Macaca mulatta: one gene and its partners. The protein of the gene in region 3 binds, or shares a complex with, the protein of the main gene of each other region. Links are inferred from orthologs where the notes say so. Each region holds a gene or a part of one and is shown on either strand. Other genes may lie near its edges.

Region 1 (3,743 bases), on a different chromosome or scaffold from region 3:
ATATTTCTGTGATGCCACCCGGCAGGCCCTTCCTCTAAGTTCCAATGAACCCTGTCCCGTTCTCCCTTGTGGCCACTGACTTACTGCAATGTAAGGAAGATGTTGCTTCACTGTCTCAGAGAATAAGGCCTCCTTGAGTACAGAGGCCATGGCCTGTTCATTTCTTTAACCTCAGGGTTCAGTACAAAGCATGAGATGGAGGAGGGAGTCAGAACATGGTTTTTGTGTGGTTTCTTGGGTTTTGTTTTTGTTTTTGTTTGAGACGGAGACTTGCCCTGTCACCCAGGCTGGAGTGCAATGGCACGATCTCGGCTCATTGCAACTTCTGTTTGAACGATTCTCCTGCCTCAGCCTCCCGAATAGCTGGGATTACAGGTGCCCACCACCACGCCCAGATAATTTTTGTATTTTTAGTAGAGACAGGGGTTTCACCATGTTCGATCACGAGGTCGAACTCTTGACCTCGTGATCAGCCTGCCTCGGCCTCTCAAAGTGCTGGGATTACAGGCGTGAGCCACCGCGCCGGGCCAGAACATGTTTGTTGGATGGATGGATGAATGAATGAATGAATGAATGAATGAATGAATGACTGTCCTGGAGATTAAGATCTACAAAGCTGGGAGCATGAAGGTACACAAGGCCAGAGAAGTCTGAGTTTGGGGAAGGAGCCTGGGAGAAAGGGTTAGTGAGTGGAGGAGGGTCTGAGGTCTAAGTTTATGGCGAATGAGATTTGAGGGGAGGGGTCTGAGTGGTGGAGTGGAAAGGTATGGGGGCCCTGGAGTGGGACAGGAAGCTCTTTATGACTATTCATTTAATCCACACAACCCAATGAGATTGTCATTTTCCCCATTTTACGGATGGGGAAACTGAGGCATACTGAGGTGAGAAACTTGCCTGGGGGAAATCGCTAGTGGGGGTGGTACTGAGATTCGAACCCAGGCGGTTGGCTCCAGTCTGTGCTCTTGACCAATTTGGTCCGGGGCCCGGCACACAAGTAATCCCTGTTTGCCCTACGGCCATTATCACTAACTGAGGCAGCGGCGCGGGGCCTTGGGGGTGAGGGCAAAGGGGTCCTTGAGGTCGCCCTTGGACCTGAGGACAAGCCAAGCCTCAGGAAGAACGGTGCGCGGCGGCATAGATGAAGGGCCCGTTGCCATGGGAACAAACGCAGGCCTCGGGCGGGCGCATGCGCAGATCGGGGAGAGGGTGTTGAACCGGTGAAAGGTGACGTAAAAGCGCACGGGGTGGGGCGCGGGGCTCGGGACGTCAAAGCCCTGCGTCCTTCGGCCCCCGGAGCAGAGAAGCGCGCACGGCAGCGGTGACAGCGGCCACGGCAGCGGCGACAGCAACCCCTGCTGGGCCGAAACTGGGCAGAGCGGAGCAGACGTCTGAAGCAGCGCTAGTGAGGCGCGAGGGTGGCGCCCGCGCCCGGGAAGACACCCTCGGCGCGAACCGGCGGCCCAGCCCCGGGTCCGGGTTCCCGAGGCCCCGCCTCTAGGGCCTGGGGACTAATCGGATTGAAAGCGCGCCGGCCCGGGCCGCGAACTCGCCAATTGCGGAGGGCGGTGGCCACCGCCCAATCCGGAGCAGACAGGTGCGAGGTCCGGAAGGCGGAGGCCAATCGGCGGCGGTTGCGACCTGCTGGGGCAGGTCTCGGCCAATAAGGAGGCTCGAGTGACATCTTCGCCCACCAATCGGGAGTGAGGGAGCATTCGTGCCCGCTCGCCCTTCCGGCCAGACCTCTATTTACCAGGGGCGTGCAGCCCGCTTGCCAATCAGAGCGCGGCTGAGCGGCCCGGCAGCCAACCCCCGAGGAGCGGCCGGCTGGCGTCCGCCGCGCCCAGGAGTTGGGGATGTCCTACAAACCCATCGCCCCTGCCCCCAGCAGCACCCCTGGCTCCAGCACCCCTGGGCCGGGCACCCCGGTCCCTACAGGTGAGGATCCAGCTCCACCCCTGCTCGCCTGCCGGGCGGTCGAGGTCTCGAAGAGAAGACGGCCTGAGTTCTGCAATACTGGGCTTGCCGCCTACCCTCGCTGAGCCTCAGTTTGCTGGCCTGTGAAGTGGGCGTGGTCACGTAAGGGCTTGTAGGTGGAGCGCAGTGGGAGGGATTTGTCCCTGAAGTTGATCAGCCTGGAATGAAGCATCCTTTGGAGGGAATCGGGCGAACCCGGTCCTGGGCTTGGAAAAGCTGGGAGGCGGCGTCCCTGCCCCGCGCTGACCTCTTACTCGCGCCTGTTGCTGCAGGAAGCGTCCCGTCGCCGTCGGGCTCAGTGCCAGGAGCCGCCGCTCCTTTTAGACCGCTGTTTAACGACTTTGGACCGCCTTCCATGGGCTACGTGCAGGTGAGTGGGGCCAAAGGCTTGCTTATGGATGGGGACTGGAGTCCCCCTCCCCGCCAGGTGCCTGAGCTCACTGCCCTGTTCTCTTTTGACATAGGCGATGAAGCCACCCGGCGCCCAGGGCTCCCAGAGCACCTACACGGACCTGCTGTCAGTCATAGAGGAGATGGGCAAAGAGATCCGGCCCACATATGCTGGCAGCAAGAGCGCCATGGAGCGCCTGAAGAGAGGTAAGTGAGGCCAGGCCGCCCTGCTTAGGAAACCGACACTGGACTATCTTCCATTAGGGAAAGAAAGACATCCGGAGGCCACCTGAGCCAAGCCTAGAGGAGGGCCAGTATTACTACCCAGAGAGGTGTTTTGAATCGAATTGAAATTGCGTCCATTTCCAGGGAAGAGCCTGGGAATTTGTACTTCTACAGGGCAACCTTGAGGATTAACCAAACCTCTAATCTCATCTAGCCGTCATTAGTTTGGAATTTCTCTTGCTGAAAGGGGAAAGGGAGTGGGGAGGCAGGGGTCCTCCTCTGGAGGGCAGTGGGTGGGGCTGTGGAGGGTTGCTGAGACCCCACCCCACCACCAGGTATCATCCATGCTCGGGCCCTAGTCAGAGAGTGCCTGGCAGAGACAGAGCGGAACGCCCGCACGTAACAGGAAGCGCCCCGGCCTCAGCGTCTGGACCTTTCCCGGCCACTGCAGAGCACCCGCTTCTCCCTGGCCTTCATCCCGAGTTGCACTAACCATCCTGGGCTTCCTGTCCTGTGTCCCTTGGTGGGTCCCCTCCAGGAACCAAGGAGCGGCTCTCCAGGTGGCAGCACTAAGGACATCCCCCCACAACAAGAGTTAGCAGCGAGGTCCCCATGAGTCCCACCCATGACCTGCCAACAGTGTTGCCCACCGGAACTTTCTGTGGTCCCCACCGCTCAGCCCTTCCCAGCCCTTCTCCCACTTTGTCCCGAGCCTCCTTCTCCCCCAGCAGGGGCTCAGGCCTGGCACCTCACTGCCTTGTGTCCTGAGCCATAGTGACTCTTTTATCTGTGTGTCTTTTGCTAAATATGCCCTTTTTATATTAATAAAAGATGATTTGGAGTTGTGCTCTCAGCTCTGAGCCTTTCTGGGTCTGGTTCTTCAGCTAAACCTGGGTGGGCCAGGCAGAGAAAGGGGAAGAGGAGACTAGGAGTGGGGAGGGTGTGACTAAACAGGGTTTGACTTGCCTCTGTGGGCCATCAGCCTCAGGTGGGAACCGGGCCCTCTCCGCCCCAGCCGTGGCGCTGAGAGCCCTGGGCCTTCCTGTGGTGCCACCAGGGGGCAGCACAGGGCCTGGCTGCTTCCACAGCCCTTGGCGCTATGGGCAGCCTGGGCCTGGAGGGCGCTTCCTCTGGATTGGCGGTGATGCCTGGCA
Region 2 (3,743 bases), on a different chromosome or scaffold from region 3:
GTTGCGGGGCGTGGGGGGTAAGGACTCGGAGGGAAAGGAGTGGCCCCGTTGGTCACCGGTGCCACGCTGGCTCTCCTGCTCGAGTTTTGGGCCTTGTTTGCAAACGTTGACTTCATAAACCTCCCACATCCGAAGTAGGACCCATAAAAACGATATTTAAAAAAACCTTGGACACTGAGGTGTAGGGGCAGGAAAGGGTTAATCGTCAGGGTGCTGAGGGAGAGTTGAATTGCTCACTTGTGGGCTCGGAGTCCCAAAGAGCAAACAGCCACTGTTTTCTTCTCAAACATTCTCACCTCCTCTGGGGTCCGCAGACCTTACAAAGACGGGCTTTGTTGCCAGGTAGGACTGCCAGCAGCGTTCTTCCTCTGGCCTGTGGGGAGGGCAGGGGCTGGTGTTGCCAGCCTGGGCAAGGCTGACAGCTCAGGCTTGACCTGGTGTCATTGGGGCCGGGGCCTTAAACTGGGACCTTCAGGGTTTGGGGTCACAGGGATAGCGGCACTCACGGGGACCCCTGAAGTCCTGTTCTGAGCTGGCTGCACCTGTATTCAGCTTTTCTTCTCTTTCTTCTGTGGAGAATTTCAGGAGTGCCGAGATCCCCAGATCTGGGCTTTTTGGTGCCCCTCCCTCTCCCCCATGGACCCTTTTGCAGAACCCCAGCTCCCCTCCTGCCATTTGCATCCAAGATGGACTCTCCGCTGCTGCCGCTGCTCCTCCGGCTTCCTTGTCATCATCCCTCACGCCCTGCAGCCCTGCCTCCTGCTCACGGGTTGCCAAGCCGCGGCCTGGCCGGTGGTGGCAGTGGCGGAGTTAGACAAAGCCCCCGCCTCCCCCGCCCCAGAGCCCCCCAGGCGCCCCAAGTGGCGGGAAGGCCGCCAGCTCCCCAGGCCCCGGCGCTCTTTGTCTGGCGTGGGGGCGGGGAGCCGCGCCTGGCCCCAGGAGCTTCCTGGCCTCTGCCAACCCCTCGCTCCTGCACACTGCGCTCATTGTCTGAGATGCGCCGAGACGGCCTGCGCTGACGTGGTCCCTGTGTCCCGGTCCCTGTGTCTGCAGGAAGGAGTGACCATGAGTGGAACTCGGGGCATTTCCGCCATCTCTCTCCAGGACTAGACACCCCCCACTCAACCCTGAACAAGGGACTGGCCTGGACAGAGCATTGGAGTCACCGAGCTATTGCTCCTTGTCCCCCCAGCCAAAATGGGACAATTTCTCATTCCTCCTTCCTCTCAGCCCCGCAAAACCTAACCCCAGTATCATCAAATAGTAGGGTCTGGAGCCTGTAGACCTTCTCTTGGGAAGCACTGCCTCTAACAAATGGAGAAACTGAGGACTGGAGGGCGGGGGGCCTGTCTGAGGTCACACAGCCAGGAGTGGCACAGCTGGGGCTGGCGCCAAGTCCAGTGGGGAGGACAGAAAAGGAGAGGTGAGGAGCAGTGGGCAAAGCAGTTGGGGAAGAGGACGGGGGCACACCGAGTTGATTCGAGGGTGCGTGGGAAGTGGCTAGCGCCCCTCCTGCCAGGCTGCTGGGATCTTGCAAACACCCAGGGTGCTGTGCTCTATGGTCCCTCCCAGAGACTGGCCCTCGAGGCCAGAGAGGTGTAGCTACCAGGATCGAAACCCAGGTCTCTGCCAGCAGAGCCTGTGTTCCCCATGCCACGCTTGCTGCCACATCAGAAGCTCAGGAAACTGGGGTTTGGCTGATGTGGTGAGGGGGCGCTGGGGGACATCGCCCTGCCCAATTCCTGCAGTGGCCGTGGACGTGCCGGATATCGCGGGCGTAGTGCTTCCCCATCCCAAGCCGCCCATCCCTGTAGCACACGTGTCTCGTCATCCCCATGTGGGAGGCATGGAAACTGAGGCTCGGAGTGGCATGGTGCTTTGCCCAGTTCAGGATCCAAGTCCACGTTTCCAGGTCCAGCCCAAGCTGGAGCATAACCCTGGGCTGCAGTGGTGGCATCCAGGGCTGGCCTGAGACTCAGGGAGACAACTCGGGACTGTCCCCGCTCCCGGATGCTCCTGGACAGAGGGGCAGGTGCTGAGGTAGCTGGCTCCCTGCATGGAGGGGCAGGTGCTATGCTGTGTGCCCTGGGGCAACTCCCTCAGGTCCATGTCTCTAAATAGAGGGGCCTGGAGCCAGGGTTCTCCAGGGCTCCTCCCGGCTCCCCCAGCCTGAGGCCCTGAACTTCCTTCCTCCTCTGCCCCTCCCCTCACCCACACCAAGTGAGCAGCTGGTGGGTTTGGCCAGCCTGGCACCAGCTGTCCATCCCCGAGGCCAAGTCTGCAGCGCCCGCTGTGTGTGTGAGAGAGAGACCGTGTGGCTCTGGGGGCGGCAGGCGGGCAGCTGCCGAGGAGGACTAGGTAAATTCTCCATGGTTACCGCTGTTTGTCATTCTGCAGGATATCCTTTACCCGCTAATGGCCACTGGGACGCCATTGCGGGGCCGCGTGCTCCCAGCCTCAGACTCCCCTCCCAGATCCAGGAGGCTGCGTTCTGGGCTGGGCCCTGCTTGGTCACTGACTGCAGCCCTGGACAGGCCCCAATGTTGCATCCCATATGTGGGGCCTCAACCCTCCTCTCTTGGAATGCAGAGCCGTTGGGACATAGACTGCCAAGAGTCTGGTCCCCCTTTGGGGAGGGGGAGACAGGCACAGAGAGGTTGAGGGGCTTTATCTGGGGCACACAGAGGCCGTGGTGTTCTCTAGATTCCTAATTTGATGTCCAGCATGCCTGTCTCCAGCCAGGGTTGGGTCTCAAATACTCTAAGGCCTTCCCATCTTCCCCGTCATTGAGCACAGCAGAGATTTCGGTGCATAGGACAAAAAGGCTTGGAAGCTCCGCTGGTTTGGACCAGCCTCCATGGCAGTGGGCTCTTGTGGTATGATGTGGCCTCTAGGTTTTCATCCTCTGGGGCCAGGACACAGGGAGAGGGGATGGGCAGGGATGAGGCCAGGAGTGGCAGTAATTTTATCTTTGGGAGCAGCCCTGCTGCTTGGAAGGTTCTGGTTGGACAGGACGGAGCTCTGTGAGGACCAGCAGCTGCTACAGAGCTGGGGATGGCCGAGTGCCTTGTAGCTACATTTCATTATCCGTCTTCTACACTGGTCAGACTAGAGGTGGAGAGCAGGGTTCTCTATCCTGCTACAGTTGGTGGTGTGGGTCCTGGGCAAGGGCCATTGCAGGACCTGGAGTCCTTGCCTTGGTACAACTGGCTGAGCTGACTCCTGGCCTCTCTCTCCCCACCCCACAGCTGGGAGTGTCCACTCTCCTTCCACCAGCATGGCGTCTTCACAGTACCGCCAGCTGCTCAGTGACTACGGGCCACCATCCCTAGGCTACACCCAGGTATGGCAATGGGGGTGATGGCATGGTGGGAGGGCTGGGGGGAGACATGCTCCCCACCATCAGAGGAGAGAAGCTGGTGGAAGAGACGAAGGAGCAGAAAGTATGGGACAGAGCTTTCTCAGCCCAAGGCCCTGACTGGGCTCCGGCTCAGAACACATCAGAATGGAGGGCACTGGGGACTGTGTTTCGCAGGGACGTGTGAGGTGGAGCGGACAGGAGAGCACCAGGAAGGGGCAGCAGCCCGAGCTGCGCTGCGGCCCCCACCCCACGCGCTCCTCTGGTGGGTCTCCTCACTTCTCTTTCCTGGGCAAGTGAGGCCTGGCCTTGACCCTGGCTCTCCAAGCTGGGACAGAAAACGGCCGGTTCCCACTTGCTCTCCACGGGCGTGGGCCCAGCAGAG
Region 3 (3,743 bases):
CCTTGCATCCTTCCCCGGGGACTAGTGCCTGCTCCCATTCACACAACAAAGATTATCACAAATGGACCCACGACAAGAGAGCTGTTCAGAAACTGCTACTCAAGTGTACCCTCCTGGTTCTAGGGTTCCACTGTGGTGACAAGAAATTACAAGCAGCTTCCTTCATCAGAGCCCATCACTACCAACAGCAACTGACAGCTTCCAGAAGAACCTCAGTACCACTTTCCCTACCCAAAACCTTTCCTCTTTACTCCAACCCTTGACAAGGATAAATCTCTAAACTTCATAAACAAGGTAATTCTACAAATTAACTTATACACAGGGTTACTTCCTTTCCAATTTGATCAAGGAATGCAGGGCAAGAATAACCCAAAATATGCAATGTAAATCATGTTGAAATTAAAATGTATTTCCATCTCCACCCCTCCACGATGGCATAATTTCAAATCAATTTATATAACACATATCTGGTCCTCTGAAAAATCATTTTTTAAAAGGGCTGTTATTATTCTGTCCTAGCTATCGCAGATCAGACAATTCAGATTTATTCTGTAAGATTTCAGATTTTCTCCAAATGACACAGGTGGTTATTTTATATATAAGAGTCATTAAAAGATTAATCCTTTTTAACTAAAAAGAGAGTACGGCCATTTACAAGTTAAAGGCAGATTTATTCTAAGCTGGTGCTCTAGGTTCTTACCTCTCTAAGATACTGTGATTTACAATACACCAAATGTAGGAAACAGCTTCCAAAATTTGTATTGCTTCATACAAATCAGGACTTTCAGGTCAAGGAGCCTAGGATAGGTTCTCTGTTAAATTTTGGAATCCTTTTTCTCAAGAGTAACCTACTAGAAACTATTTACCAAGCCTTTGTGAAATCTGTAAAACAGGTTACTACTCCATTCAGCCACGAAACAGGATTCGAAGATTTAATATTACTGCTCATACTCCAAATTATAGAATGCTTAAAATTATCTGACTTTTGTAATTCACTACACGGTGAGCTCAAATTTACCTTATTAGAATATTTAGTACTTCTGCACTTCTCCCACTTCTCAAAGTTTTCCCACACCAGGATGCCCACCACCTAGGAACAGCCTTTGCAAGATACCAGTGCTCTCTAAATCCCCAAAGCAGGGTCGATTTCCCGATCGAACAAAGAGCAACAAAGAAGTGGGTGGTAACCACCACTCTCAGAGGCGAGCCAGGACCCATCGAGTGTGATCTACAACACAAGCAGTAGCAGTTCCACATCTCCCTACCACCTCTTACTTCCTGCGAAGGCTTTCTGCCTGAAACTGGAAAATCCGAACTATTATTGAGGAAGTGGAGCCCGTCCATTTGAATCCTGAGAAAGAGGCGCTCAAAGAATCCGGCGAACAAAGGAGAGGGTTGGAGCCCACGTAAAACATGGGTGTGATAAAGCCACACGCCGGACTTGAGCCCCCACCCTCAGTAACTACTCTCCAGCGCCCACCCGGGAGGAGGGGTCCGGGGAAAGACTGGAAGCCGAGGAAGGAGAAGACGCTCCGGCCAGACCCAACGCAGGGGAGGGGAGGCGAGCTGGCGAGGAGGGGGGAAGGGGACAGGAGGGGCGGAGCTCTCGCGGCCGCGGGGCTTTGTGTAGAGTCAAGGCCGGGGTAGAAATTTTGCCTCGCGGGGGACGGGTCGAGGGGATAGAAAGCCTACGCCGGGCACCCCAAACCTGCGCTGCCACGAATGGTGGGCAGGAGAGAGGAGAGAATGGGCCGCCCCCTTCCCCGCCACCACCAAGGCGGGGTAGGCCGGCGCCGTCCCCAGCAGCGGCCACCTTCGAGGCTGCGGACGGCACGGACGAAGGGGGAGAGGCAGGAGACAAGCGGGGCGGCCCCCCGATTCCCGCCCGCAGGAGCCGCGGGTGCTGCGCGAGGAAGACGGTCTCGTTCTAACCGCGCCGGGCCGGGAACGGGTTAAGATGCGGCCAAATGTCGGTCCCTCCTCCTTCCCACCCCTCAGCTCCGGCGCCCACTCGCGACGGCGGCCGCGGAACCCAGCACCCGGCCCGCGCGCCCACCCGGACACCGGCCCCGCAGCTCACCGTCGTAGTAGTAGCAGACTTTTTTTTTGCCGCCTCCTTGACTGTACGCCATGGACTCCCCGGCCACCGCCGCCTCCGGGCTCCTCCTCCTGCTGCTGCTGCTGCTGCTGCTGCCGCCGCGGCTCGGCCGGGAGAGAAAAGGGCTAAGGGAAACGTGGGGGCGGTAGTCCCGCGGGGAAGGGCAGGTCGGTGGGAGGAGAGGAGGGGGCGCCGGGAAGGCTGAGGTGCCGAAAGCTCGGAACCGGGGGTGGCAGCGGCACCAACTAGCGACACGGGAGAGGGGAGGGGGCCACCAAACCACCTCCGGAGGCCGCAGGGAGGTGGGCGCGCCCACTGCGGCCTCCGCGGGGGAGGAAGGGGCACGGCTGGAGAAGGAGGTCGCTTCGGGCTCGAGATTAGAGGCCCTCTGAGGGTGAACAACCTGCGCAAGGCGGCGCCATACACAGTCTTAAAATGAGGAAGAAGACAACCTTTCGCTGCGCAAGTAGATCCAGGGAGCGTGCAGCCGGGTGAACGTTCGCCCCCCCTCAGGTCTGCGCGCAGTGGTTGCGCCTCTCCCCGAGCCTGCGCAGTCGGCGCCTCGTAGCCTTGGCGGTCTGGACCCCTTGTCGGCGTCCCACGCTGCTCCCCTCCCCCACTGCCGCGAAGCTCCCGCCCGAGCCGACCACGTGCCGGGAGCCCGGCGGGGAGAGCCCACTCCCGCGCCCCTTCCGGGCCCACGACCGCGCCGGGCTGCGGCCCATCGCCCCAGTGCCTGGTAGCCTAGTTTTCTCGTTTGTCGTTTGTTCATTTATTATTATTATTATTATTATTGTTTTGGCCCGTAATGGGTAGGAGGTATAAAGGGACCTATCACTGATGTTAAGGGGAGAGGGTACCGCTTGGGTTTTAATAAGCATTTGTGGAGCTCATTTATAAGATACAGTTCTAAGCACTTAAATTTATATTTCATTGATAATCTATTTATAATAATCTCACTTAAGGCTCCCAACAACTCTAGGAAGTAAGTGGTAATTGTACTCCTTCATTATAGATGGAGACAGATGAAGGAACTTGTTCTTACTGCTAACTGATATGTCTGGAGGTTTGAACTCATTCTGCAAACTCCACGCGCCTTTGCTGTTCCACTCTGCAGCGATGCTGCTGCCTAGACACCGGAAGATTGGAGCAGAAAGACTTTCGAAACTCTTGGAAGTTATGAATATATGTGTTCCTGTGTTCAGTAAATACACATTTATCAAGCACCTACCCTAAGCCAGCCACCTTGCAGGTGAGGGCTAGAGGCTAACAGCCTGTTTCATAGCACCCATCCCGATTATATAATTTAAGATTCCCCCTCCCCCACAATACACCCCTCTTAAAAAAAAAAAAAAAAAAAAAAAAAAAGCTGTATTGATGCTGGAATTTTAGAGCCACTACCAAAAATACCCTTTTTATTTTGCTGTTTTACTTCAAAATCCCGAAAGTGTTCATGCTTAAAGCAGCAATTTTTCCCAACCTCACCCCCAAGAGATTTAGAAAAAGTCCAGGGTGGCCCCTGCCCTCCCTCTGCCCCCTCCTCTGTATTTTTAACAAGACCCCAGATGACTGATGAAGTTGCTAGAGAAATTACGGTGAGTGAAGCACTGGCCTAGAGGTAAAGTTAATTGACCTTCTAAGTTGT

The links.
Region 1: HDAC2 (region 3) and CDK2AP2 share a complex: the UniProt entries of both Homo sapiens proteins name them as parts of the nucleosome remodeling and deacetylase (NuRD) repressor complex. The link is inferred for Macaca mulatta from reciprocal best matches to the Homo sapiens genes HDAC2 and CDK2AP2.
Region 2: HDAC2 (region 3) and CDK2AP1 share a complex: the UniProt entries of both Homo sapiens proteins name them as parts of the nucleosome remodeling and deacetylase (NuRD) repressor complex. The link is inferred for Macaca mulatta from reciprocal best matches to the Homo sapiens genes HDAC2 and CDK2AP1.

The regions. Positions count from the first base shown.
Region 1 is NC_133419.1:6,872,735-6,876,477, forward strand, and holds CDK2AP2 (cyclin-dependent kinase 2-associated protein 2), read left to right. Parts: upstream 1-1,388; 5' UTR 1,389-1,853; coding exon 1,854-1,935; exon of another isoform or gene 1,936-2,086; intron 2,087-2,092; exon of another isoform or gene 2,093-2,137; coding exon of another isoform or gene 2,138-2,246; coding exon 2,247-2,344; intron 2,345-2,438; coding exon 2,439-2,571; intron 2,572-2,924; coding exon 2,925-2,992; 3' UTR 2,993-3,420; downstream 3,421-3,743. UniProt on the Homo sapiens protein: Acts as a component of the histone deacetylase NuRD complex which participates in the remodeling of chromatin.
Region 2 is NC_133416.1:130,673,190-130,676,932, reverse strand, and holds the start of CDK2AP1 (cyclin-dependent kinase 2-associated protein 1), read left to right. Parts: upstream 1-1,247; 5' UTR 1,248-1,314; coding exon 1,315-1,423; intron 1,424-2,204; exon of another isoform or gene 2,205-2,358; intron 2,359-3,248; coding exon 3,249-3,343; intron 3,344-3,743. UniProt on the Homo sapiens protein: Inhibitor of cyclin-dependent kinase CDK2. Also acts as a component of the histone deacetylase NuRD complex which participates in the remodeling of chromatin.
Region 3 is NC_133409.1:19,038,147-19,041,889, forward strand, and holds the start of HDAC2 (histone deacetylase 2), read right to left. Parts: upstream 2,346-3,743; 5' UTR 2,133-2,345; coding exon 2,081-2,132; intron 1-2,080. UniProt on the Homo sapiens protein: Histone deacetylase that catalyzes the deacetylation of lysine residues on the N-terminal part of the core histones (H2A, H2B, H3 and H4).